Linked DNA regions of Callithrix jacchus. The protein of the gene in region 1 interacts with the protein of each later gene in a biochemical or structural test. Links are inferred from orthologs where the notes say so. Each region holds a gene or a part of one and is shown in the gene's direction. Other genes may lie near its edges.

Region 1 (3,628 bases):
AAATATTTTAAACACTTCACAGAAAGCAGAAGCTTCATCTCCAGTCCCTTACCTTTCGCCTGAAACAAACCCAGCATCATCAACCTCTGCTGTTAATCATAATGTAAATTTAACTAATGTCAGACTGGAGGAGCCCACCCCAGCTCCTTCCACCTCTTACTCACCACAAGCTGATTCTTTAAGAACACCAAGTACTGAGGCAGCTCACATAATGCTAAGAGATCAAGAACCATCATTGTCGTCGCATGTAGATCCAACAAAGGTACCTGTGCTGCAGTGTTGTCCTAATTTGTTGCTCTCCATCAATCTGGCACATGATCATTTTTGCTTTGCCCTTTAAGTGTTCCTTTTGCTTTTTTACTGCAGGCTTATACACTGTAATGCTTTCACATCAATCAAATCATTTCAGTTTTGGAGTTTGCATGGCTTCCAGTGGTACACTGATTATTTGAAAACAGGCCTTTTAATTGAGATTCGTGCTTATTATGTTTATTATTTTTATTTTTGGCTTTCAGTATCTTCCAGAATTCCTTAATACGTAATTGAGACCCATCAGAAACATACTTATGTTAATACAAATTATGATGCTCATAAATTTTCTTGCGGATTTTTCAGTGTCAAAATGAAGTGTAATCAATAGTGCATTAATTTTCTACTAAATTTAATATTTATCTTTAACTCACTATTTAGTACATGCTGAAACGTAATAGCCACTACCTGCATTATAAATTTTGAGCTTTCACTTAAACCAGCTTTTTCCACTAATCTTGTCTATCCTGATAATAAATGGTATAACATACCATTATCACGTATTAAATCATAGTTTAATATTTAATCATAATCTAATAAAATAGACTAGAATTAAAAACAAGACTGTCCTTAACTGTGAATTTTTTACACAGGCATATAGAAAGGATCCATATCCCGAGGAAATGATGCGGCAGAACCATGTTTTCAAACAGCCAGCCGTTGGTCACTCAGGGCACAGGCCAGACAAAGAGCCTAATGTGACCTATGAACCCCAACTCCCATACGTAGAGAAACAAGCCAGCAGAGATCTTGAGCAGCCCACATACAGATATGAGTCCTCAACCTATACGGACCAGTTTTCTCGAAACTATGACCATCGTCTGCGATATGAAGATCGTGTCCCTATGTATGAAGAACAGTGGTCATATTATGATGACAAACAGCCCTACCCGTCTCGGCCACCTTTTGAAAATCAGCACTCTCGAGACCTTGACTCCAGACAGCATCCCGAAGAGTCCTCAGAACGAGGGTACTTTCCACGTTTTGAAGAGCCAGCCCCTCTGTCCTATGATAGCAGACCACGTTATGAACAGGCCCCTAGAGCATCCACCCTGCGGCACGAAGAGCAGCCAGCTGCTGGGTATGACACACATGGTAGACATAGACCAGAAGCCCAGCCCTACCCTTTGGTAGGGCCCAAACCCACAGAGCCCAAGCAGTATTTTGAGCAATACTCACGCAGTTACGACCAAGTACCACCCCAAGGATTTGCCTCTAGAGCAGGTCATTTTGAGCCTCTCCATGGTGCTGCAGCTGTCCCTCTGCTGATACCTTCATCTCAGCATAAGCCAGAAGGTCTGCCTTCAAATACCAAACCACTGCCTCCACCCCCAACTCTAAGTGAAGAAGAAGAAGATCCAGCAATGAAGCCACAGTCTGTGCTCACCAGAGTAAAGATGTTTGAAAACAAAAGATCTGCATCCTTAGAGACCAAGAAGGATGTAAATGACACTGCTGGTTTTAAGGTACACTAAATGAAAAGGCTTCTTTTAAATGAGGTACACTCATTTAAAGGCTTCTTTGCTCTTCCCTCCCCCGTTACATGACATCTATTCAGTAGTTATCTGTTCCTTAGGTGTATTTGTCTTTTTTTTTTTAACAGCCTCCAGAAGTAGCATCTAAACCTCAAGGTGCTCCCATCATTGGTCCCAAACCCACTTCTCAGAATCAGTTCAGTGAACATGACAAAACTCTGTACAGGTGAGTGCACTTTGTGCCCTTTGCGGCCTAGAACTGCCTGGGAATTTAACCCTCTCTACGTGAATTTACTTCATGACTTGCTTTCTTCCTCATCTGCTTTCTATGCCTTCTAGAACTTTAGAGCGTATAGAGTGATTTGCTCATACGTGAATCATTGAGATCCTGGACGAAGTTCTCAAAAATCCCTTTGAAAGTTCTTCAGGTCTATCATTGACTGTTCTTGACATTGGTATATGTACTTCTCAAGATGTTCTTCACTGCCTTGGTTACATTCCCCTTTCTCTTTGTAATAACTGCTTTTACCCTGCTGTCCCCCTAATCATATAGTCATTTAGGTTATTACATTGTGTTAAAGGACTCATGAGCCAGAAGGGGGCTGCCTTGTGAGTTTGCTCTGTGAGGACATGGGATTTGAAATACCTATTTTAACTGTTGGACTGCTCAGTTAGATCCTGAGTAATCACAGCAGTTAGTGATTATTGACCTTTTGGTGAAGATAAGACTTATATATTCCAGTTCCTTCATAACATTAATATCTAAAAAGTTGTTCGATTTGTCATTCATTATCTGTTAGGATCCCAGAACCTCAGAAACCTCAAGTGAAGCCACCTGAAGATATCGTTCGGTCAAATCATTATGACCCTGAAGAAGATGAAGAATATTATCGAAAACAGCTCTCATACTTTGACCGAAGAAGTTTTGAAAATAAGCCTCCTGCACACGTTGCTGCCAGCCATCTCTCTGAGCCTGCAAAGCCAGCTCATTCTCAGAATCAATCAAATTTTTCTAGTTATTCTTCAAAGTAAGTTATTTCACCTGGCTTTTAAAAATAGGATGCAGCATATTAATCGTGAAGTCCAACATATTTTGAAGAAAAATAGTTTAAGTGTAATTATGATTTCATGCTTTTTAATTCTGGGATGTGTGTTTTGTCTTTAAAGTCTGTTATTAGATGTACACAGTTTTTGCATTCACAAAGATGCTAACGTCACAGAGTTTTGACAGAAGACAGTGTCAGCTGCAAGGACCCTCAGCACTAGGCAGTCATCAGTCTTCATTTCTGTACACACACCTAATGACCTTATGCTGGTTCTTTTCCATGTTTATTTTTTAAATATAAAAACAGATGTGGGAGGATCCTGTCTGAGGGAAATACCAAAGAGGTTTGCTTTTTGTGTTTTTTTGTTTTTTTCAAGGCAAGAAAGAACTTTTTTTTTTTTTGGCAAGATTTTTGATCTGGTTTTACAGGTGAGGGCACAGCTGGGACTGAACCCCAAGTTTCTTGATTCCCAGTCATCTTTTCCCTGTGCTTGCTGTTCCTGTCTGTTTACTTGTCCCTGGGTTTCATGTTGGTTTGCTCTTTCTTGTGCCTTATGTGGGTTTGTGTCTCCTGCTGGTTCTGTGTCTCTGGTTATTAACCTTTTGGTCAAGATAAGACTTACGTATTCTACTTCCTTCTTAACCTTAATATCTAAAAAGTTGTTCCATTTGTCATTCATTATCTGTTAGGATCCCAGAACCTCAGAAACCTCAAGTGAAGCCACATGGCTGATAAGAGAATTTGGTACTGATAGTTGGGTCTGAGCCCACACAGGCACACAGATAGGTTCGTACCTCA
Region 2 (4,184 bases), on another chromosome or scaffold:
TTGCCTCCCATTCCCATCTTGAGCATTCGCGCTTTTCCTTCTCTGTCACTAACTAGCAGCTGCCCATGGTATACAAGGGTGGATCTTTTTTTCTCCTTCATATGTTTATCTCTGCCTCTAAGGATCTTCTGCTTTTACTAAAACCACAGAAGCTTCCCCTCCCACCACACTCGCACCACACACAAAAAGCAGTTGGAAAAACATTTCAATTATTCCCAACCACAGCAGCACTTCTGACTAACTGCAAAGAAGGAAGCTTTAGAGACCCTAGAGGAAAACAAACATCCCAGAGAGACCAAAAAGGGAGGGGTGGCATACCCAGTTGCAGTGAAAGCCAGAACTTCCTAAAAGCCCGGCCCTCCTAAACTCCAGCGCAGTCTTTTCTCCACTGGGGAAGCACTGTTTACATGCCCTCACCTGTGACAAACAACATTTGGTAATTCACAAAATTAACACCTTTGAGGGAGAGCGGACCACTGGCCAAGTCCCTCTGATAATGAATTGCTGCTATAAGACATAACTGCTGTGGGGAAGAGGTTGGTGTTTGGCAGGCGAGGGCTGCTAGGCTGCATTTTCGTAAGGGCAATAATACATCAAAAGGACAATCACAGATCAAAGGGCATATTTTTGGGTCAATTTGGTATGTGGTGGAAAGCAGATTGGGAGGGGAGCCAAGTACTGATATGCTCGTGTGTGTGTGTGTGCGCGCGCGCGCGTGGATCATGTTGCTCTCTGGGTCTCAGCTTCCCAATCTGTAGAGTGTATAGATCTCTGGGGGCCGTCGGAGAGACAAGTGATGGAAAGAGCTTGACAGAAGGGGGCAGGGGAAAGGAGAAAGGGGAGGAAGCTGAGCAAAGGAGAGAGAAATGTATGTGAGATGCGGGAGGAGATGCGGAGTTGGGTAGACATGTCTTTCAATAAGATATTGGGAAAAAGTATTAAAGCTAAAACCGCAGCTCTTGAGGGCTCATTTCTTCATCGTTGTTTTTAGGATTTACAGGTACAGTGCATAGTAATTTTTGGATGATTGGAGTGAGTGAATGAAAAGCGTGAAACTCCTGACAGGAGCGAGGAGATCCACGAGAGAAAGGAGCAGCGACGCAGCTCTGGTGCCTGGTCCTGCGGGGAGGTCCCCACACCGCCCGCAGCGCGTTCCCCCCGCCCCCTCCCGGTGAGCCGCCCCGAAACCGCCAGGGGGCGCTCCCCGGCTGCAGGGCTGAGGCGGGCGGAGCTGATTTAAATCGCGGCGCCCAGCGGTTTGGCGTCTCAGTTCCTGAGCTCGGGAGCAACCGCAGCTTCTAGTACCCAGACTCCAGCGCCGCCCCGGACCCGGACCCCGACCCGGACCCAGAGCTTCTCCAGCGGCTGCGCAGCGAGCTGGACTCCCCGCCTTAACTTCCTCCGCGGGGCCGGGTCACCTTCGGGAGTTCGCGTTGCGCACCTGCAAACTCTCCGCCTTCTGCACCTGCCACCCCGAGCCAGCGCGGGCGCCCGAGCGAGTCATGGCCAACGCGGGGCTGCAGCTGCTAGGCTTCATTCTCGCCTTCCTGGGATGGATCGGCGCCATCGTCAGCACTGCCCTGCCCCAGTGGAGGATTTACTCCTATGCCGGAGACAACATCGTGACCGCCCAGGCCATGTACGAGGGGCTGTGGATGTCCTGCGTGTCGCAGAGTACCGGGCAGATCCAGTGCAAAGTCTTTGACTCCTTGCTGAATCTGAACAGTGAGTGCACCCCCACCTCACAGCCGCCGTCCAGAGGCCCCAGTCCCCCTGCCGTTCCCTTATGGGCTCATTCTGTCGTGTGATTACATGGTTATCAGTCTGGAGTTGATCAAGTCTTCTGATGACGTGCTCTGTCATAAGCAAATGCGAATCCTGGTTTGAGACAAGGGATGCCCAGGCATAAGCTCTAGTGTTGCCTCTAACTCCCTAGGTGGCACTTTTCTGCCACACTAGGTGTGGCTTCATCTGAAATTCCTATGCTGGTGGGTCGAGATTGAGAGAGTGAAGGCCAGACTTGAACTTGAGCTCTTAGGCCTCTCCTAGACATGCTCCTGGTAACTACTCAGGTGTGCAAGCTTAAAAATCCTCAAGTATTAGATCGATTTTTTAATCTTTACTATGATTTTTCATAGCAAAAGTTACATCCCTACTTGAAATATCCTATCTAAGTGTCTGCTACTCATACTTCAGGTTGATTCTTTCCATTTTTAAGATTCAGTTAGTGCAGCGAGGCCTCTTGCAAGACTCCTTGGAGAAGCCACTTGAGTTTCCCACAAAGTTTTAACTTTTAGACCCAACGTCTTCAGTAGAGTCTGATTGTGTAGTGCTATCTTGGAATGAAAAGGTTGGTGGCAGGTGGCAGAAGCCAGACAAGAAAGGTTCGAAATAACCTGCCCAACATAATACAAAGGGGAAAGTAAAGACACTGAAGGGAAATGCAGCAAAATAGTCACAGCTGATGAAATGAGAGGTCAGCTGGGAGCAGGAGGCAGTGAGAAAGAAAGAAGAGGTGCGTCTTTCAGGTTTCCATCTTCCACAAAGGAATTTCTGTGCCATGGATGTTCAGTGACCCCTTGTCAAGTTGGAAAGGACTGTATAGAGAGACATATTTCTAAGCATGGTGGAAGAAGGATAATAGGATCTTTGTTTTTACATATGTTTTTTAAATTAAAGGTTTTGAGTGTATTGTCAGAAAAATCGTTAAATACCCATTTACTTAGGTAATAATGATTCACTGCTGGAGTATCTTCCTTGAGAAATCACATTAATTGTCTTATATCATATGTTTGTTATTCCCTTCAACTAACTTGAAGAAAAGGTCCCTCAGTCTTTGCCTAGATAAACATGACTGCCCACTGGCCCCCATGGAGTGCTAAGGGTAAGAAGTGTTGCCATTGTTCAAGTTTACTTAACTTGTTTTGTTCACCTCCTATCAAAGAACAACTTTTAATAGGGTATGTCAAAAGCTGTATAGTTTAGTTATTAAGCCTGTTCCAAATCTGTTTAAACACCTTGAGTACCTGTGGCATTTGCTCAATGTGCATGGTCGTTTTGAGTGTTATTTCAGCTTTTGAAGGTTTCCATATTAGGACTTCTTTAAACCAAAACCAATCTATAATTTTGGTAATTATGTGTTGCTTATTGCCCTCATAGGTTGTATTTGTATTTATAAAGTGAAAAATTTGGCAATAATTATTGAATTTCTCCATGGAAAGATAAGTATATTTAAGGAAATGGTGTCGGGCATTTTAGGTACCACATGAAGGAATTGGAGGCTGGAGAAGTTTCTAAGAACAATTCCAGAGAGGTCTCACTCTCAGTTTCATTGCTCTGGTCAAAATAGTCCATTTTTGACATCTTAAAATAGGTTTTCCTTTAACTTCCTTAAATAAACAAATGAAATCAGATTGATCCATGTTGTAAGTATTCAAATGGATCATCCTTACATGATAATGTGTTAAAACATTTTGCTTTCATTTTTTGGATAATATAGTTATTAAAGTTTTTAAAACTGTGGTGAAAGGACTAAATATCTATCCCCCCACACACACAATTTAGAGATGTCTTCCTTTTTTTTTTTTTAAATTCCAGATCAGAATCCACTTTTGTTTTACTGAAAGCCATAATTTATCCAAGGTGTGGCTTAGGCTTTTCTCTCAAAACCAATTCTCGGAAGAGAGACCCTTGACTCACAGGTTCTCTCTCCTAACCTGCCATGACTCACTGGATGCTTTTGGATGGAGCCCAGGAAACTTTTCTCCATTCCTCTGCCTGAGCAGTGGTGTTCACGCCCACTAGCTGTAGAGATCTAGGGTGGTGATTCATTGGCTGCTTTTGGTATAGTTTTGTTACATCTAGAGAGGAAAAGGGTTATGTGTGCATATTTAAGCTGTATCCCTCATAAAAAAGCTGCATTTCCTTGAGTGTCTTTAGGTGAAAAGCTTAGCTGTTGGTTTCCTGGAATTGTACCTTGCTGTCTTTCCCAGTAGAGCACACTTGATGTCTTAGAGTACAGATGCAGGGTTTTATCAAGGCTTTAGCACTGGAAGTATTAAAATATCTTGATTTCCTGCTTTGATGTAGGGTCAGTTGTAAGGTATCTAAAGGAATACAGTGTGCTAATAGTGTACACAGTAAATACAAAATGAGAGCAGGATTTCTTTCAGGTAGTTCTTGCC
Region 3 (3,628 bases), on another chromosome or scaffold:
TCTACTGGATGAGTGGCTTGGAGAAATGTTCTACCCTTCGGCCTTCACACACCTTTTAAGAGGGGGTGGTAAAAGTTTGTGTGTGCTGTCTCCTCGGGGAGGGTGCATCGCTTTCATCATTTCCTCATGGAGTCCCAGGGCCAAAAAGATGAAGAATTATTCCTAATAAAGGGATCTCCCCTCCCCGTTCTTTTCTCTTGAAAATTGCTGGGAATTCTAAGAATGCTCTTCTTTAGATAGGAGACCTTCCCCACCAAGCCCTTTGTCACCTGTAGCTCTGCCTCTCCCATCCCTTCCCCTCCCCTCTCATCTCACCTTCATTTCCTGGCTTGCTAGCGCTTTACAGTCTCTGAAAGGGGCCTTGCCAAGTTTCCTTGGCCCAGAGCTCCACGGGGAGGTTGAGTTGGCTATGTTTGTGTTTCTGTCTGGCACGTTAGAGGCTCCTCCTCCAGTTTGGTGCTAGGCTCTGGTAGAGACTAGCGGAAGGGGTGGGGAAGCTGAATTTTTTTATTTGCTTGGAAGATAATCTCTCCCCCGCCGAGTTCCTGGAGCCAGAGCCTACCTGGAATACATTCCATTTGCTGACTCTGAGCTCGAGCAATGTGGACCTGGGAAGCTGGCCTATGGATAGTGTTGGCTCTGGCTGTTAGCTGAGACAAGTTTACTTGACCTGGGGCTCCTTGGAGTGGCACAGTTTTTAAACCATATTTAAATCTTTTCTTGAATAGATAATACCTCCACATGGTTCCAAATTCAAAAGGGACAAAGAGATAGACAGTAAGAAAGTCCACTCCTTTCTGCTCTTCCAGAGAACAGAAACTCTCCCATCCCTGTTTCTAGTACTTACTAGAAAGGCATCACTGCTAGCAGTTTTTTTAAGTTTCTTTCCAGAAGTGGGATGATACACTTTTATTTAAAAATTTTTTTATTTATTCGTTCTTGTTACCCAGGCTGGAGTGCAATGGTGCGATCTCGGCTCACCGCAACCTCCGCCCCCTGGGTTCAGGCAATTCTCCTGCCCCAGCCTCCTGAGTAGCTGGGATTACAGGCACACGCCACCATGCCCAGCTAATTTTTTGTATTTTTAGTAGAGACGGGGTTTCACCATGTTGACCTGGATGGTCTCGATCTGTTGACCTTGTGATCCGCCCACCTCGGCCTCCCAAGTAGCTGGGATTACAGGCGTGAGCCACCAGGCACGGCTAACTTTTGTATTTTGTGTAGAGATGCAGTTTCACCATGTTGCCTGGACTGGTCTTGAACTCCTGAGCTCAAGCAGTTGGCCCGCCTTGGCCTTCCAAAGTGGTGAGATTACAGGTCACTGCTCCTGGCCATCAAGCAAAATCCTTAAACTTTTAACAAAGCCTAGCTCCCCAGGGCTGTATCAGAGGAAATGGATTCTTTTAGGTTAGTGAGTCTCAAAGTGTGGTATCTGGACCAGTAGCATCAGTATCACCTGGGGAACTTGGTTAGAAATGCAAATTCTCAGTTCCCAACCCAGACCTACTCAATCAGAAGCTCTGGAGGTTAGGTCCAGCAACCTGTATGTTAAAAGGCTCTCCAGGGGCCTCGTGTTAGTCTGAGAATCCAGTGGTTTATCTGGTAGGAACTGACAAGGCAGTCAGCCCCACTAAAGCTGGGCAAGTAGAAGTTTCATAGTTTCTAGTTAACTCTCTCAGCCTAAACTCATTTCTTCATCTTCTAGGACTCCTCCTATTCATGGAGCAGGCACCCAACATGGCTGAGCCCCGGGGCCCTGTAGACCATGGAGTCCAGATTCGCTTCATCACAGAGCCAGTGAGTGGTGCAGAGATGGGCACTCTACGTCGTGGTGGTCGACGCCCAGCTAAGGATGCAAGAGCCAGTACCTATGGGGTTGCTGTGCGTGTCCAGGGCATTGCTGGACAGCCCTTTGTGGTTCTCAACAGTGGGGAGAAAGGTGGCGACTCCTTTGGGGTCCAAATCAAGGGGGCCAATGACCAAGGGGCCTCAGGAGCTCTGAGCTCAGATTCGGAACTCCCTGAGAACCCCTACTCTCAGGTCAGGGGATTTCCTGCCCCCTCGCAGAGCAGCACATCTGATGAGGATCCTGGGACCCAGTGGAATGGAAAGCTACTCCGTTCCCAGTCCCAGGCCTCGCTGGCAGGCCCTGGCCCAATGGATCCTAGTAACAGAAGCACCAGCATGCTGGACCTAGCCCCAAAAGCGGCTTCCCCGGGCAGCACCATTGACACTGCTCCCCTGTCTTCAGTGGACTCACTCATCAACAAGTTTGACAGTCAACTTAGGGGCCAGGCCCGGGGCCGGACTGGCCACCGAACACGGATGCTACCCCCTGAACAGCGCAAACGGAGCAAGAGCCTGGACAGCCGCCTCCCACGGGACACCCTGGAGGAACGGGAGCGGCAGTCCACCAACCACTGGAACCCTAACACAAAATATGACAACCACGTGGGCAGTTCGAAGCAGCCAGCCCAGAGCCCGAGCCCGAGCCCGAGCCCTCTCAGTGGCTTAAGCCGTGCCCGTCAGACTCAGGACTGGGTCCTTCAGAGTTTTGAGGAGCCTCAGGGGAGAGCACAGGACCCTACCATGCTGCAGGTCAGACCCAGCCCCTCCGTGGCTTCCAACTGTCAGCCTCTTCTCCCTTATCATCTCCTTTACCCACTAGCCATAGGCCACCTTGCTAATTCTGGTAGCCTAGGCAGAAACTGTCCTTTTGTTCTCCGCTGTATCTGTCCAGAAAATAGGTAATATTCACATGCACAAGGTATTTCCATGGGTAAAATCCTGAAGAAAATGGACTGAGCTAAAAAATCGTTATTCACAAGTTTGGACCTAGTTGTCATTGCCACAACCATGAACTATGCTCAGTCACCAGCATTTGCCAGGTCTGCAGCACACGTAAGGCAGGCTTGGAGGACACGAGCAGTTTCCTTGGTGCTGTTGCTAAAATTCCACACCTTTCTCTCCTACTCAGGAATGTAAGTGAGGGAGCCACTTTACTTTGAGAGAAATTTAAGTTCATTTTTTTTTCTCTGTTATTTTTCTCTGCAGAGCTTGCACATAAAAAGTATATTTTTCTTTTTCTTTCTTTCTTTTTTTTTTTTTGAGACGGAGTCTTGTTCTGTGGCCAGGCTGGAGTGCAATGGCGCAATCTCGGCTCACTGCAACTTCTGTCTCCTGGGTTCAAGCGATTTTTCCGCCTCAACCTCCCGAGTAGCTGGGACCACAGGCATGGGCCACCACACCGGCTAATTTTTGTATGTTTAGTAGAGACGGTGTTTCACCATGTTGGCCAGGATGGTCTCGATCTCTTGACCTCGTGATCTACCCGCCTCAGCCTTCCAAGTAGCTGGGACCACAGGCACGTGCCTAAGTTCATTTTAAGAGTAAATTATTTATCAGCTGTAGCATGCTAACTGCCATTGGTGACAAATCACTTGCAGCACAGTTCGCAGCTGGTTGAGATGTTTGTTGGGAGAATCTGGTTGGCAGCAATAGTGTAGGGGGCATCTGCATTGGCCTCTCCCTGGCCTGTTGCTCAGGCCTCCGCAGCACGTCTTCTTTGCTGCACTTCAGAGTCGTTCATCATGCTTGAGGGGCCTTGACCCGAGACTGCCTCTTTGAC
Region 4 (3,751 bases), on another chromosome or scaffold:
GGCACATCTCTCCTGGGGGCTCTGTTCCCAGAATGAGCTGCCTGGCCCACCCTCGGTCTTTGTCCCCTCCACCAGAATGTCCTCCCTTAGCCAGTCCAGTTGCCTTGCAGAACTTTTCTTTTCCTTCCTTTTTTTTTTTTGTTTTTTGAGATGGAGCCTCACTCGGTTGCCAAGGCTGGAGTGCCATGGCGAGATCTTAGCTCACTGCAACCTCCGCCTCCTGGGTTTAAGCAATTCTCCTACCTCAGCCTCCTGAGTAGCTAGGATTACAGGTGCCCACCACCATGCCCAGCTAATTTTTTTTTTTTTTGTATGTTTAGTAGAGATGGAGTTTCACCATATTGGTCAGGCTAGTCTTGAACTCCTGACCTCATGATCCACCCACCTCGGCCTCTCAAAGTGCTGGGATTACACCGTGCCCAGCTGCCTTGCAGAATTTTTCTGGAGGACCTGTTCCTGATGCTTCTGTAGCATAATCCAAGAATCCAGCACCCCCTGGAGTTGTGCCACGCTGCGCCCCTTTGCAGTCGAGATCCCCCAGCACCACTGCCTCCGCCCCGGGAGGGTTCCCCTTTCCTTTGCAATCTCCTGGGACTTTGCACCCACTCTGGCTTTATCAGAAGGTTTTGTGTCTCCACAGGGTAAACACCCATTTACGGGGCTGATGATGGCTCCAGGATCTAGTTCACGGCTTGCTGGTGACCCGCCCTACCCAGTTCTGGGCAAGCAGGCTGGACCCCGGCAGGAACAGAGCCCACCAGCCTAAACTTCTACGGAGGTGGAGGGGGCACAGGCGCTGGTGTCTTTTTGGCTGAAGGTGTATCGTGTCGCAGAAAAGCCGGGCGATAAAGATGGGTGAGAGCGAGTGATGAACCCAGGGGTCCCGGCCTCCCAGCTCCTCGCTCCCCTACATGTAACTTTATCGGACCGATGCCTCGCACATTGCTGGTGAGGTCAGATGCACTAATGATCAGAATCACAACAGGAATGAAACTGCCAGTGATGAAACGGATAAGATGACAATAATCAAGGATAAGAAAGGACAATAATCAAGGTGGGCTCAAATTTTCTCCCTGAGGGTCCCAACCTGTCCTTCCACCTAAGCCTGGAATGAGGAAGCACTGGCCTGTGGGGACCCTGGTCTTCAGGCTCCCAAACCTGGCTGGGTCTGGTGCCCCCTGACCTTGCCCTGTGAACACCCAGGTGTCCCTGGGTTATGACTCAGTGTCTGTCTGCCGGCTGATCTCAGCACGGGCTTTGAGGAAGGGGAGAGGGTAGTTTCTTCTGAGACAGGAGTGACTCAGGGGCCCAGGGTTGGGGCCTCAAAAGTGCCTTTGTTGGCCTGGGTTCAGGAATCCAGAGAAACTGGTCAAGGGGAGGCCCCAGTGAGGGAAACCCCTCCCTCTGCCCCCGCCCCTCCACCAGAGCCATATAACCGTTCAACCTGTCCCGGAGAGCGAGCGCCCTGGCAGCTGCCGGCAGGAAGGAACCGGTCTGCTCACACTCGCTGGGTTGTCCATCAGGACTCACGGAGCAAAGGAGCTCTCTGCAAGGTCAAGTCCGTCCCCAGGCTTGGAATCCTACAGCCCCCCACAGCCGGATCCCCGCAGCCTTCCAGGTCCTCGACCTCCGCGGACGCTGAGCGATGGCCTCCATGGGGCTCCAGGTGGCGGGCATCGCGCTGGCCGTGCTGGGCTGGCTGGCCGCCATGCTGTGCTGCGCGCTGCCCATGTGGCGCGTGACGGCCTTCATCGGCAGCAACATCGTCACGTCGCAGACCATCTGGGAGGGCCTGTGGATGAACTGCGTGGTGCAGAGCACCGGCCAGATGCAGTGCAAGGTGTACGACTCGCTGCTGGCGCTGCCGCAGGACCTGCAGGCGGCCCGCGCCCTCATCATCATCAGCATCATCGTGGCCGCGCTGGGCGTGCTGCTGTCCGTGGTGGGCGGCAAGTGCACCAACTGCCTGGAGGACGAGAGCGCCAAGGCCAAGACCATGATCGTGGCGGGCGTGGTGTTCCTGCTGGCCGGACTGCTGGTGATAGTGCCCGCATCCTGGACGGCCCACAACATCATCCAAGACTTCTACAACCCGCTAGTGGCCTCCGGGCAGAAGCGGGAGCTGGGCGCCTCCCTCTACATCGGCTGGGCCGCCTCGGGCCTCCTGCTGCTTGGCGGGGGGCTCCTCTGCTGTAACTGCCCACCCCGCACAGACAAGCCTTACTCCGCCAAGTATTCTGCCGCCCGCTCTGGCGCCACCAGCAACTACGTGTAAGGTGCCACGGCTCCGCTCTGTCCCTCTTGTCTTTGTTCTTCCCTGGACTGAGCTCAGCGCAGGCTGTGACCCCAGGAGGGCCCTGCCGTGGGCCACTGGCTGCCGGGGGCTGGGGACTGGGCAAACAGAGACTGAGCTAGGTAGGAGAGCAGCAGCCTTCAGCCTCTCCGGCCCACTCGGACACTTTCCCAAGGCCGCCTCCTGCTAGCAAAGACAGATGCCACCCTACTCTGGATGTTTCGGAGGGACGGAGGTGACAGGGTGTGGTGGTGGAGTGGGGAGCTGGCTCCTGCTGGCCACTTTGGGCTCTGCCCGCATCGGTGTTGGCCACTGTCCCCATTTACAGCTTCCCCACCCTGTCTGCCTGCATCTCCTGAGTCCACCTCTCTCCCTGGTGTCTCCTCTGTTCCCCGGGCAGGCCTTGATGTCACCTCTGGGACTGTGCCTTGCTCACCCAAACCGGCGCCAGGGAGTACAGCTGAGGCCTCACCCACCCACCTGCCTGGGCAGTGCAGAGTGGATGGACGGGTTTGGAGGGGAGGGGTGACTGCAATGTAAACAGGTTTGGGCAGTGGTGGGGGAGGGGGCCCAGGAGGCCACTCTGGCTGCCCAGCTCTGCGGCCTCAGGACTCTCTGCTACACCCACTTCAGCCCAGGGCCCCTGGGCCTCTAGAGACTGATCCCCTCTAAGTCCTTTGTCCCTGCCAAGGACACTAACCAGCCTGGGAGGATGGCAGGGAGGAGGGGATGGCTTCATCCTCAGAAGCCCCGGGGTTTTTGCTCCACCTTCTTTGTCGTTTCTGTTTTGTAATTTAAGAAGATCTATTCACCACTGTAATTATTATTATTTTCTACAATAAACGGGACCTGTGCACAGGAATAAGTTGTATTGTCTCCGATTTCTGCTGTGGAGGTGGGCGGGGCAGGGCTGGAGGCCTGCGCCGGGGGTCGGTGAGGAGCGGGATCACTGGGCTGTGAACACTTAAAAAGAAAAAACAGGACCCAGGGAACGGTGAGAAATTGAAGCTGGGCCGGGTGCGGCGGTGTGCACCTGTAATCCCAGCACTTTAAAAGGTGGAGGTGGGAGGATCACTTGAGGCAGGAGTCTGAGACCAGCCTGGGCAACACAGTGGCCCCATCCCTCCAAAAAGTTAAAAAACTGAGCTGGGCGTGGTGCCTGTAATCCCTGTACTTGGGGAGGTCGAGGTAGGAGGTCTGCTTGAGCCCAGGAGTTTGAGGCTGCAGTGAGCTTGGATAAACCACTGCACTCCAGCCTGGGTGACAGATCGAGAACTTAAGTCTTAACGAAAAAAAATCAAAACGGGCCTCCAAGGTATCAACTTAAGAAAGAAATTGAAAAAAAAAAAAGAAAGAAATTGAAATGGGCCTCCACAGTATCACCTAAAATTAAAACAAACAAACAAACAAAAAACAGTGAAATGGGCCCACAAGGTATCACCTAAAAAAACAATTGAG
Region 5 (4,348 bases), on another chromosome or scaffold:
TGCTCACAGACAGAGTGTTAATTGAGAAAAGGATGGACTTCTGAAGAATATTCACATTTAAGAGATGAGTAGAAGAATAGAAACCTTGAAGAAGGCTAAAATGCGATAGCCAGATTGTGGTGGGCTGAAAAATTCGTGGGTTAGGCTGGGCACAGTGGTTCATGCCTGTAGTCTTAGCACTTTGGAAGGTTAAGGCAGGCGAATTGCTTACACGCCCGAATTCAAGACCAGCATGGGCCACATGGCAAAACCCTGTCTCTGCAAAAAATACACACACACACAAAATTAGCCAGGCATGGTGCTGTGCACCTGTAGTCCCAGCTACTTGGAGGGTTGAGGCAGGAATATCACCTGAGCCCAGGCGGTCGAGGCTGCAATGAACCGAGATCATGCCACTGCACTCCAACCTGGGTGACAAAGTGAGAACCTGTCTCAAAAAGAAAGAAAAATTAGTGGGTCAGAGGGTCTTGTAGAGAATGGGGAGGTGTGCCCTTGACCCTTACTGTCCTGAACCTTGGTAACACTGAGGGATCCTTGAACACTGCAAAGTCCTATAAGGCTCTGAAATTCCAAAGCATTGACTCAGATACCTGCCTCATGCAAAGTCCTATATTCTAGAGCAGCTTGCCTTTCCTCTGTGGCAGACCCTTGTGCCCCTAACAGATTACCCAGAGAATTTCAGGGCTCCCTCTCAGTCCTAGAACTCTTGCTCTAGAGTGCTCCCTCATCATCTGAGAGGTTGATGAGGGGGGCATCTATTAGGAGACTGGACAGGAAATGTCTGGGCATGTTACACATGCAGAAGGCCTTAGGCCAGGCTACAGAGGGGGATTTGGGCATGGCTGGGAGGATCTGAACTCTCAAACTATGGACAGAAGACTTTATTGCCTACCCTCATCTGCCCTGGAGAAGATTTTCACCATGGGCAGGGGGATTCCAGGCTAGGCCACTAGCCTGGAGATTCAAGATGCCTCTAACAAGCTGGAGTCCAAGACTACATTCTAGAATCTGTTCCTCCTGATGCGATCTGCAGTTTGGCCTCAGTCTGCAACTGAGGGGCCTTATGGCCCTGTTTCTTGGCAACGTATTAAACAGCAGGCCTTGGAGACTAGCATTTGAGTTAACACAGTCACCACAACCGCCACTGCCATCATCACCTTCCCGGAAGGCAGCCACCTGTCTGGCTCCTGGCTTTGTCCAGATGCCAACCTAAGGCATGCGCCTACGCAGGAGGCGATGACATTTTGGCTCCACATTCAAAGTTTTTTTTTCCTTTCTCATGTGTTATTTTAAAAGATAACAAAGGTCAAAAGGCATCTAGCATTTTCTGGTTTCTCATAAGCTTCTGGTCAATATTTAATCTGGTTTATGGATTGTTTTAGGTCTTCTACATGCCTTCTTGAGCCTGCTTGTGGCCACCCACAGACACTTGTAAGGAGGAGAGAAGTCAACCTGGCAGAGAGACTCTGAAATGAGGGATTAGAGGCATCCAGGAGCAAGAGCTTCAGTCTGAAGATAAGGGAGCAGTCCCTGAAGACGGTTCTACCATGGCCTCTCTTGGCCTCCAACTTGTGGGCTACATCCTAGGCCTTCTGGGGCTTTTGGGCACACTGGTTGCCATGCTGCTCCCCAGCTGGAGAACAAGTTCTTATGTCGGTGCCAGCATTGTGACAGCAGTCGGCTTTTCCAAGGGCCTCTGGATGGAGTGTGCCACACACAGCACAGGCATCACCCAGTGTGACATCTATAGCACACTTCTGGGCTTGCCCGCCGACATCCAGGCTGCCCAGGCCATGATGGTGACATCCAGTGCAATCTCCTCCCTGGCCTGCATTATCTCTGTGGTGGGCATGAGATGCACAGTCTTCTGCCAGGAATCCCAAGCCAAAGACAGAGTGGCAGTAGCAGGTGGAGTCTTTTTCATCCTTGGAGGCCTCCTGGGCTTCATTCCTGTTGCTTGGAATCTTCATGGGATCCTGCGGGACTTCTACTCACCACTGGTGCCTGACAGCATGAAATTTGAGATTGGAGAGGCTCTTTACTTGGGCATTATTTCTTCCCTGTTCTCCTTGATAGCTGGAGTCATCCTCTGCTTTTCCTGCTTATCCCGGAGAAATCGCTCCAACTACTATGATGCCTACCAAGCCCAACCTCTTGCCACGAGGAGTTCTCCAAGACCTGGTCAACAACCTCCTAAAGTCAAGAGTGAGTTCAATTCCTACAGCCTGACAGGGTATGTGTGAAGAACCAGGGGCCAGATATGGGGGGTGGCTGGGTCTGTGAAAAACAGTGGACAGCACCCCGAGAACCACAGGTGAGGGACATTACCACTGGATCGTCAGAAGGTGCTGCTGAGGACAAACTGACTTTGGGCATTGGATTGAGCAAAGGCAGAAATGGGGGCTAGTGTAACAGCATGCAGGTTGAATTGCCAAAGATGCTCGCCATGCTAACCTTTCTGTTTTCCTCACCTTGCCGCCCCCCTTCCCTGAATCCCCAACCCTCAACTTGAAACCCCACTCCCCTACTTTGAGCCAGGCCCCAGATGATCCCTTTGCCCTTTGGTTTAGCTGGGACTCCATCCCCACACCCACTAATCACATCTCACAGACTGACCCTCTCTCTGGCTGAGTTGGCTCTTAGCTCTTTGCTGGGGACGGGAAGGAGAAGCGGTGGCTTTTGTGGACATTGCTCTAACCTACTTATCAAGCCTCCCTCCAAAGAAACAGACTGGCCCTGGAACCTCCATCCCACTCTTGTTATGACTCCACAGTGTCCAGACTAATTGTGCATAAACTGAAATAAAGCCATCCCACAGTATCCAGGGAACAGAAAGCAGGATGTAGGATGGGAGGATGGGAAGGCAGCCTGGGACATTAAAAAAAAAAAAAAAAAAAAAAAAAGCAGAACCCATTTCCCAGGGCACTTTCCAGAATTCCCTCATATTTGTGGTCAGAGGATTGAGCCTGTGGCTTAAGGAAAGCACAAGGAAAGGAAAAAAGATCTGGTGGAAAGCTCAGGTGGCAGCAGACTCTGACTCCACTGAGGAACAGCCTCAGAAGCTGTGATCACAACTTCACTGAAGCCCCTGCCTCCCTCTGGGGCACCTGTCCTGTCTTCCTGCCTAAACCACAAGGCTAAGGGCTACAGACAATGGTTTCCTTAGCAACAGTGAACTAGTTTTTCTAGAGATTGCCCTTGGCTGGGGGATGACAGTGTGGGATCTATGGATCAGTACACACACAGGATGGAGCAGTGTATCTACTGAGGAAGATACCATTCCTTGATGCTAGCCAAGAAAGAATAAGAACCTTGGTGTCTAAGAAACCGGGTGGATGTGTATGGTGGCTCCAGTGGGTGTTTCTACTATGTCAGCAAGAGGCAGCCCCCCAGAATGTCTTCAGGCATAATGGAAAATCAGCTCAAGTGAGATCAGGCCCCCTAGGGTCCACCCACAGAGCACTACAGAGCCTCTGAAATACTACAGCACCAGGTGAACCCCTTCAGATTCCCCCCACTGTCCATCAGATGTTCTAGAGTGGCTAGAGGGCATCCAAGAGCTCCAGCATGGCATATCCATGCCCACCGTGTTATGTCCATGATCTGAGTGATAGCTGCACTGCTGCCTGGGATTGCAGCTGAGGTGGGAGAGTGGAGAATGGTTCCCAGGAAGACAGTTCCACCTCTAAGTTCTGAAAATGTTCCCTGGAATGGGAGTAGGAAGTCATATACCAAAGATTTTTTCCCTCACCAGTCTCAGCATGACCGACTACTGAAAAACTCCAGCACACCTCCTCGAACCTCAGTGTCAGCAGAGAGGGCCCATGTGTTGTCTGTAACATGCTTTTCCCATGTCCACTTTCTTGCCTACGTTCCAGCTGCTCTCCCAACCTGGAAGGCCTTCTACCCTTAGCCAAGTCCTACTCAGGCTTGGAGAACTTGCTCAGCATCACTTCCTTCATTGAGCCTGCTCTGATCACTCCATCACTCTCCTACCCCACCCTCTCCCAACCCTCAATGTGTAAATTGCTTACTGATGCTTAGCATTCACAATTTTGATGGATCATTATTTGTGTCTGTGTGTCCGATCTCATAAATACACTGTAAACTCTTTGGTGGGTGGGGGCTATATCCTAGACCTCTCTGTTTCCCCCAGACTATCTGTAACAGTGGCACACAGTAGGTGATCAATAAACACTTGTTGATTGAGTAACTGTCTTATTGATTAAAAGGGGCCCAGAACGGGCAAGTGAAACTGGAGGGATTTCGGCTAAGGTGAGGGGAGGGTGGAAACTGGCATTTCTTTCCACAGGGTGGATAAATAATTCTAGACTTTACTAGAAATAAT
Region 6 (3,925 bases), on another chromosome or scaffold:
AAGTAACTCAGATTTTTTGAACCATTAAACTCTCCAAGTTTAATAAACTAGAAGAAAACATTTTCTCCCTTATTTGGATTTAAGGTAGTCTAATCAAGCAGAGAGAAAGTAAAATTGTAAAGGAAAGATCAGTTTCCATGATGTTAAGGAGAAAAAACAAATGGAATACAGCTTTAAGTTTGGAAAGATCGGACAGAGGGCTCAAGCTGATCTCCAGAAGAAAATTGCTAGCGGAGTCTTCTCAGATAAACATTTATGCTTCGTACAGCACCACTGTTAGATTATCATTATCTTGAGAGGAAAGTTCAAATTGTCTTGCATTTAGGGGTTTTTATGTCCTATTGCAGACATGATATTAAAAAGTAGGAAAGCAAATTTGGTTAACACCTAATATAATACAGTTTAGTAAGTATAGTTCCCTTGTCTTGTAAATATTTTATTTTAAGTTATCACCCATTTGCATAGACCCAAGGCTCTTGTGCCATCTGCAGAATTCTAGTTCCTTCAGCCCAGGAAGATAAAGCAGCAAGAATAACACCACAAAATATGCTCATAAGCTAGCAAGCTGTAAATCACTTTATGGTTTAAATGCTATAGTGCGGGCTACATAAGAAAATCATCTGGTGATATTTATTTTGGCAAAAAAAATTTATAAATGAAGATTATAAAAAAAAATGCCAATGAGTAATTTTTCTGGCTTAAAAAACTCCAATATGTTTTAGGTGCCAAGGAGAAGGACAGCCTTGTGTATTTAATTACTTTAGCTTATTTTGTCTTCTGGCATGAGCTGCTCCCTGATTTCACCCCAGCATAGAGCTTGCTTTGAAGTTGTACACAAATTAAATCAATCACTTGGATCACATGTGTCCCAAAGAATGTGGTTTCCCAGGTAAAAGCAATCTTTCAATCCCCTATCCTCGTTTCACTTTGGCATTTCGACAGCGTTGCAGAATTCTCCGGCAGTTATTTTATTTTATCCCTTGGTCCCAGCAGCTCTTACTAAGAGTATCAGAATTGCCTGTACAAGGTGCACCTTTCACATTACAAGGGATTGGCTCATTTCTGGATGCTTATGCAACCACTTACAATTATGCCTACAGGTAAACATACTGCTGTCTTCTTGGAAGACTGTGAAGTATAAAGAATGTTTATGTGCAGGTCTAGCCGTTCCAAGTACCCAAGTGTTGGTTTAGACTCACCTCGGTTACCATCCAACTCTCATTGGCTGAGAAAGTTGCCGCACCTGATTTGTAAGTTTCCCTGTTGAAGTCAATAGCAGGGGCAGCTCAGCCAGCCAGCACTGGATTTTATCTAGCCAGAAGTAGCAAAGCAGCTCTTATTTGAAAAACCACTGGGTTCTGAGTTCATTACTCCAGGAAAAACTGTTCTATCCTGTGGCACAGTGAACCTTGCTTCAAAGCAGACCTAGCAGCTCAAGAGTCCAGGCGGCTGAAACCCATCCCAGAGGATAATGGCAACCTATGCCTTACAAATTGCTGGACTGGTGATTGGTGGTGTTGGCATGGTGGGCACAGTGGCTGTCACCGTCATGCCTCAGTGGAGAGTGTCTGCCTTCATTGGAAGCAACATTGTGGTTTTTGAAAACCTCTGGGAAGGACTGTGGATGAATTGCGTGAGGCATGCTAACATCAGGATGCAGTGCAAAATCTATGATTCTCTGCTGGCTCTTTCTCCAGACCTACAGGCGTCCAGAGGACTGATGTGTGCTGCTTCCGTGATGTCCTTCCTGGCTTTCATGATAGCCATCCTTGGCATGAAATGCACCAGGTGCATGGAGGACAGTAAGGTGAAGGGTCACACTCTGCTGACGGCTGGAATCATCTTCATCATCACAGGCATAGTGGTGCTCATCCCTGTGAGCTGGGTTGCCAATTCCATCATCAGAGATTTCTACAACCCAATAGTGGATGTTGCCCAAAAACGTGAGCTTGGAGAAGCCCTCTACATAGGGTGGACGACGGCACTAGTGCTGATTGCTGGAGGAGCCCTGTTCTGTTGCGTTTTTTGTTCCAATGAAAAGAGCAGTAGCTACAGATACTCGATACCTTCCCATCGAACAACCCAGAAAAGTTATCACACGGAAATGAAGTCACCGACTGTATACTCCAGAAGTCAGTATGTGTAGTTGTGTATTTTTTTTAACTTTACCTATAAAGCCATACAAATTACTAAATTCTCTATTATTTTCTCAAAATGGACCCCCAGGAAACTGATTTGCTGTTCTTAACTGCCTAACCTTAATCACAGGAACTGTGTATCAGCTATTTATGATTCTACAAGCTAGGTCAGCAGAATAAGATATTGTTCTAGAAAGTACTAGATTGTTCTAGAAAGTACAGTAATTTGTTTTCTAAGACGGTTCAAACATTTACTCTTTTTATCAGTTACTTCAAAATGACATTGCTAATGACTATATTATTTTACCATTGTAATTTCTCCATGACTTAGCATTACATACATAGATGAGTGTAACATTTATATCTCACGTAGAGACATGTTTATATGATTTTATTTAAAATGAAAAACCTATCCATTACACTGAATAAATACAACTCAACTATTGCTTTTCCAGGAAATCATGGGTAGAATTGAAGAAGGTTAATATTAATTGTATAAAAACAGCTTAGGGATTAATGTCCTTCATTTATAATGAAGGTTAAAATGAAAACTTTAATCAGCATTGTAAAGGAAATTGAATGGCTTTCTGATATGCTATTTTTTAGCCTAGGAGTTACAAATTCTAACTCCTTTATCCTCTTCTCCCAGAGGCTTTTTTTTCCTTGTATATTAAATTAACATTTTTAAAAAGCAGATATTTTGTCAAGGGGCTTTGCATTCAAACTACTTTTCCAGGGCTGTACTCAGAAGAAAGATAAAAGTGTGATCTAAGATTGTTTTAGGAAAGTGAATTTTTTTTTTCCTATTATGTTTTTGTATTTGAAGAAGAACGATGCCTTTTGGCAAGAAATCATGTATGTATGGGTCTATTTAATACATATTTGAGTACAGACCTTGAGGTTTCATCAACATAAGTAAAAGAGCAGGAGAGTATGTCTGGGTTTTCATTTGGCTACCATAAAAACAACAACAAAAATAAAGTTAGCCTTTGAAAACTTCACCGGCTCCTTTGCAAGTACATAAATCATTTAGTGTCATTTTAGTTCTGTGAAAAATAAATATCCTACTTGTTCCATTTCTGTTAAGTTTTACCAAAATCTGTAAATAGTGTGTTTGTGTGTATTCCAAATTTGATAAAACTGACAATCCAATCTGAAAGTTTGTGTCTACATCCGTCTAGCTTAAATGAATGTGTTCTATTTGCTTTATACTTTCATATTAATAAATTGTACCTTTTTATAATTATTTGACATTCTTTCACTAGTCTCCTTTTGTTTTATTAATTTGCAGAAGAGTTGAAAAACCTGATATTTTTTATTGTCCAAATTGAGAATGTCAAAGTTACCTTTGAAAGATAAACATAGCATTAATTTTTGAAAATATAAATTACTCTATGCTATTTATCAGCAATGATCCTTATAATCATTGGATCTCTATACCAATATTCAATGCAGATAATGTATTTATAATTTAAGATAGTACTATAGATTCACACAAATCTATATGTTATAAATATTATGTATATAACAGCTGTGTTTTAAATTTTTTCTGTAGCTAAATATATATTTCTACTTCTGGGAAATAATAAATAACAGTGGCTAATGTTCTGGGGGCATATTTTGCTGGGACCTCTAATGCTTATATGAATTATGATATTAAATCTTTTACAGGACAGATAGTTCAAAGGTGAGGCTGACTCTGAACAGTTCATTGATTACCCAGTAGAATCAGGAGATATAAAAAGGGCTGTCTGATCTCATAGCTCAATACTCTTTCTCTCGGGGAA
Region 7 (4,148 bases), on another chromosome or scaffold:
GAGACCTCTTTAGACCAGCACATTACTGTAAACTTGCGCAATTCCTGCGACTCCTCTGTTCATTCCCTAGGGTCCAGACCCTCCAGCATTCCCAGCAACCCTGTGAGCAGAAGCATCTGGTTAGGGGTGAGAAGAGGAGCTGGTTGCCAAACTGGGCCCTTAAGAAAGTGGAGATCCTTCCTGAATGCTCTTCCTTCCTAGTTCCTCCGTTCCTATCCCAAAAGATCTCAAACTCCAGCGTGCTTAGAGATCCTCTGGTGGCTGTCCTCTCCTCTGGCTTGCATTCAGGGAAGTGAGGCCAGGCCTTGGCCCTTCAAAGCCATCCAGTTGGCTAGCTTCTCCATCGGGATGGATGGAAGGCTAAGATGAACAAAAGAAGGAGTCAAGTGTGCCTCTTCCAGGCTGCTAAGTCCTCCAACGCCTAGCTGTGCTCGACCTTGTCTGGGTGAAGCCAGGACAGGGTCTCAAGGCAGGTCCAAGGGGTAGCTCCGATTCTCCAGCTCTGGGTTTTGTGGGTAGGGAGAGAGGCAGGTATGCCCCTCCCCTCTCCAAGGTTTCATTAGTCAACTGAGAAATCTTAATTTGGGGAATTTAGGGGTTAGACTTTGGGTGTGGGATTTAAAAAGAAATGTCTTTATGTTTATTTAACTCCCTGCTCCCCCACCCCACTTCTAGACACACACACACACACACACACTCCCCATCCTCTAAACTAGAGGCTATGTCCCTCAGCCGTGTTCCTCCTCCACTGCTTAGTTCCATAGCCCGCGACCAAGACTGCGTCTATAAATGGGAGGGGTGGGGTGGGCAGGGGTCCTGTCGTGCCTGCTCCAGAGCCCACGACGGTCACGTTGTTCACCCCTTTTGCCTTTGCCCTCAATTCCTTTCTGTCTTTGCTCTCCTTCCATCTCAGTTCCAGCGAGGGGTGTGCGTGTGTGCGCGAGGGTTGGGGGGGGGGAGGGGGAGGGCCCGTGGAGGGAGGCGCCGTCGGAGGGAGAGTAGACGTCAGGCGGAGGGAGGGAGGCAGACAGGCAGGGAGGCAGGGGGAGAGAGGGAAGGAAGAGAAGGGGAGAGAAAGGGGGGGCAAAAACCGAAAGAGACCCTGAGAGTTAAAGCTTGAAAGGAGAAATAATTAAAGGAGGAGGGCGACCGGGACGAGAAAAAGGACTGGGAGGAAAGAGAGATAAAGAGAATCGGAGGGCAGGGAAGTGAGTTTGTGCGCGTGAGTGTGCGCGCGCGCGCGTGTGTGTGTAGGGGCGGGCGCGGGCGGGCGGGGGGCGGGCTCCCGGGCTCCCCTCCTCCCCAGCCCGCTCCTCTAGCTCGCTCGCCAACTCCGGGCCCCAGCCGCGGGCGGGCGCACGGCGGGCGGACAGCATGCTGAGCCTCCTCGTCTGGATCCTCACTCTCTCCGATACTTTCTCCCAAGGTAAGGGCCCCCAGCCCGCCCCCGGACGCTCGGCTCCCCGCCTGGGCCCGGGCACTGCGCCCCCGCTGGGGGAGTGCTGGGGTGCTCGGCGGCCCGTGGCCAGCCTCTGGGTCCGGACGCCACGAGGCGGGGGCTCGGTCTGGGCGCAGAGCCCCGGGGGCGGAGGCGCGGAGTAACGGGGGCCTGGGGAGAATGAGTTTTCCGTTGATTTGCCCAAGTTGTTTCCTCTGGCTGCGCGGGAGAACCGAGCATTGGGGCCGCGAGGGCTGGAGGTCCGAGTAAAACGGGGAACCGAACGCTTTCTCCGAGCTTCTGGCAGCCCTACCGACCCTCGTCCTCTGAGGCCCGGGTTCCGGACGCCTGAGTCCAGGCTAAGGGGAAGGCTGGGAAGAGTTTGGGATTTCGGATTTCGGGCGAGGGGGTGAGCGGCAAGCTGGGTCCCACCTCTCGAAGATGTTGCTAAGGGGATCCCTCTACTCCAGCCCACCCTCTCTGGGGACCGAGTCTGAACCACCGCTCCAGACTGCCTGGGGATGTCCCCTCTAGAGGAAGGGAGGGGTGTCTCGGGGCCCCTCCCTCTAGAGGAAGGGCTTTGGAACCCCTGCCCGCGGAGGCTCTGAGTGGAGAGTGGAGTTCCAAATACAGCTTCAGGCCCGCTTGATACCGAGGGGGGAACTCACCGGGGCGGGGGCGGGGGCGGGGGCAGTGGGGAGAGGGGGCTGACATTTTACTTGGGCTCAGGAAAAGTGTTGATGTCTGGGGTTATTTGGAACTGGCCGGGGAGAGGCGGGGAGGTGAGGGAGGTGGTTGAGAGAGGTGAGGATGTCAGTGTATCCTGGGCAGGGCTGGGGTTGGGGGAGGGAAGAGGGCTGAGGGAACCAAGGGTCCAGAATGCAGCAAGGACTGGGGTCTGTGGGAGTTGGTTCTTGCCTCCTGGGTCTGATTCTAAGGAAGATTGAATCCTGCTGAACTCCTTCCCTTCCCAAAAATGGAGCTGACACACAGAAATTGACACACAGACACCGTAAAACATTCACAGACACTGAGACAGACTACTCACCTACCGAGACAGACACATTCCCGCAAACATCCCCCACACTGAGGCAGACACATATACACAAAGACACTGAGACATCTGAGGAAGACAGATTCCTCCCCCAGATCCGCGCATACATTCATCCACCCAAACGTTACAACTACACACAGTACATGTATGCAGGCGTTTACAAGGACAGGACACACGCTCGCACAGAAACCAACCCTCTAGCAAACAAAGAAACTTGAACCGACATTCATAAGGGCAGACACCTATGGAGAAGTGCCGACTGCAGATGGTGGAGGGGGTCTCTTTTAGGGGTGTCTGGGAATGGATCTGAGAACAGCCTCAGGCATTATTGCCCTGCTTTCAGTTCCCTTCCTGCGTTTGTAGGTTCGGTGTTATGCTGGACCTTTCCTCTCCTTGCCAAAGAAGCTCCAAAGGCAGAGCTTGGCTGAGTTGGTGGGGGCAGGTCTTGATTCATCTCTCCCCATAGGGCACCCATGCCAGCCCCCCCCAACACACATATGGGAGGGGCATACATCTCTGGTGTGCGCCGAGAGTGGGAGGTGGTGCTGGGGGAAAGGAGGAGGCCTGGCCCTGGGGTTGGCAGGCCAGGCCAGCCACTTGGCAGAAAGTTGGTAAGATGACTTAAGTTCTGACTTTGTTCAGCCAAGTTGTTGGTGTCGGGGAGGAAGGGGGGTGGGCCATGGTGGGGGTGGTAGAGGGGGCCCCTGGGTCAGTATTGGTTTACGTTGGGGGCAAGCTTACATCTGCCCCTTTCTTGCAGTCCTTGCATGTCAGCAACATGGATACAAATGAGCCTTAAGGAACAAAAGCAGCAGTTAGCAAACAGGAGAGACATGTGGATTGAATTGGGGACAGAAAGAAGTGTGTGCTGTGTGCCTTTCCCTCTGGAAAGGAGTGAGGGGCTAGGGAATGCTAAGCTCCCACCTCCCTGCTCCAACAGGGGTGAAAGCAGGACCTGATGAAAGTATCTGGGGTGGGGGGAGAAGATATCAAAGAAAGGGAGAGACTAGACAGGAGGGGAGAGAAATCACTCGTGAGTGTTGGGGGAAGCTTGGCAAGGGACCGGGGAGGAGGCGAGGAGGGAAGGAGTGGGGGTCTGGGGAGACTGGGACGCACATGGGGGTGGAGGGCTTGGCAGGACCTCCTTTCCTTAGCCTCCATCCTCAGAAAGGAGTTCTAGGTCAGGGACTGGGGCAGTGAGAGAGGAAACGGAGAAGGGCGCTACATCAGGGAGGAGGGATGGTGGCTGGGAAGTGGGGATGGGGGAAGTAGGTGTCAGGAAGAGGCCACAGAATGGAGGGGAGCAGAGAGGCGAGGGGAAGGGGAGATTCAGCCTAGGCTGAGAAATAAAAATTGCATTTTAAAGAATTTCAATGGGCTTCATCAATCTTCATTTTTCACTAAATAATTTTCTGTATCTTATCTAAATGAAAACCATTATCCTTCCCCCCGTTTCCATCATGTGCCGGCTCCACAGACTGATTGCGCCGAAAATTGAAATATTTATTCATTTTCTGGGAGATTTTCTCGCTCCCTAGTCTCAGGGAGGAGAAATTGAAAAAGAAAGATTATAGCTAATCAGAGCAATGTGGGATGACAGGCCAGCTCGGGGCGGGAGCTGCCTCCAGAGGAGGGATGGATGTGGGGGCAGGAGAA

The links.
Region 2: the proteins of TJP1 (region 1) and CLDN1 form a complex in vitro, tested with the Homo sapiens proteins (2 studies listed by BioGRID and IntAct, with this or other methods). The link is inferred for Callithrix jacchus from reciprocal best matches to the Homo sapiens genes TJP1 and CLDN1.
Region 3: the proteins of TJP1 (region 1) and CGN form a complex in vitro, tested with the Homo sapiens proteins (2 studies listed by BioGRID and IntAct, with this or other methods). The link is inferred for Callithrix jacchus from reciprocal best matches to the Homo sapiens genes TJP1 and CGN.
Region 4: the proteins of TJP1 (region 1) and CLDN4 form a complex in vitro, tested with the Homo sapiens proteins (2 studies listed by BioGRID and IntAct, with this or other methods). The link is inferred for Callithrix jacchus from reciprocal best matches to the Homo sapiens genes TJP1 and CLDN4.
Region 5: the proteins of TJP1 (region 1) and CLDN2 form a complex in vitro, tested with the Homo sapiens proteins (2 studies listed by BioGRID and IntAct, with this or other methods). The link is inferred for Callithrix jacchus from reciprocal best matches to the Homo sapiens genes TJP1 and CLDN2.
Region 6: the proteins of TJP1 (region 1) and CLDN8 form a complex in vitro, tested with the Homo sapiens proteins (2 studies listed by BioGRID and IntAct, with this or other methods). The link is inferred for Callithrix jacchus from reciprocal best matches to the Homo sapiens genes TJP1 and CLDN8.
Region 7: the proteins of TJP1 (region 1) and KIRREL1 form a complex in vitro, tested with the Homo sapiens proteins (3 studies listed by BioGRID and IntAct, with this or other methods). The link is inferred for Callithrix jacchus from reciprocal best matches to the Homo sapiens genes TJP1 and KIRREL1.

What each region holds. Positions count from the first base shown.
Region 1 is NC_133507.1:7,945,302-7,948,929, reverse strand, and holds part of TJP1 (tight junction protein 1), read left to right. Parts: intron 1-22; coding exon 23-262; intron 263-902; coding exon 903-1,775; intron 1,776-1,912; coding exon 1,913-2,010; intron 2,011-2,584; coding exon 2,585-2,812; intron 2,813-3,628. UniProt on the Homo sapiens protein: TJP1, TJP2, and TJP3 are closely related scaffolding proteins that link tight junction (TJ) transmembrane proteins such as claudins, junctional adhesion molecules, and occludin to the actin cytoskeleton.
Region 2 is NC_133516.1:19,268,386-19,272,569, reverse strand, and holds the start of CLDN1 (claudin-1), read left to right. Parts: upstream 1-1,263; 5' UTR 1,264-1,502; coding exon 1,503-1,725; intron 1,726-4,184.
Region 3 is NC_133519.1:11,422,569-11,426,196, forward strand, and holds part of CGN (cingulin), read left to right. Parts: intron 1-1,705; 5' UTR 1,706-1,719; coding exon 1,720-2,598; intron 2,599-3,628. UniProt on the Homo sapiens protein: Probably plays a role in the formation and regulation of the tight junction (TJ) paracellular permeability barrier.
Region 4 is NC_133503.1:9,873,254-9,877,004, reverse strand, and holds CLDN4 (claudin-4), read left to right. Parts: upstream 1-1,458; 5' UTR 1,459-1,645; coding exon 1,646-2,275; 3' UTR 2,276-3,155; downstream 3,156-3,751. UniProt on the Homo sapiens protein: Can associate with other claudins to regulate tight junction structural and functional strand dynamics.
Region 5 is NC_133524.1:103,499,406-103,503,753, forward strand, and holds the start of CLDN2 (claudin-2), read left to right. Parts: upstream 1-1,423; 5' UTR 1,424-1,547; coding exon 1,548-2,233; intron 2,234-4,348. UniProt on the Homo sapiens protein: Forms paracellular channels: polymerizes in tight junction strands with cation- and water-selective channels through the strands, conveying epithelial permeability in a process known as paracellular tight junction permeability.
Region 6 is NC_133522.1:36,260,426-36,264,350, reverse strand, and holds CLDN8 (claudin-8), read left to right. Parts: upstream 1-1,299; 5' UTR 1,300-1,471; coding exon 1,472-2,146; 3' UTR 2,147-3,386; downstream 3,387-3,925.
Region 7 is NC_133519.1:18,182,260-18,186,407, forward strand, and holds the start of KIRREL1 (kin of IRRE-like protein 1), read left to right. Parts: upstream 1-1,342; 5' UTR 1,343-1,374; coding exon 1,375-1,426; intron 1,427-4,148. UniProt on the Homo sapiens protein: Required for proper function of the glomerular filtration barrier. It is involved in the maintenance of a stable podocyte architecture with interdigitating foot processes connected by specialized cell-cell junctions, known as the slit diaphragm.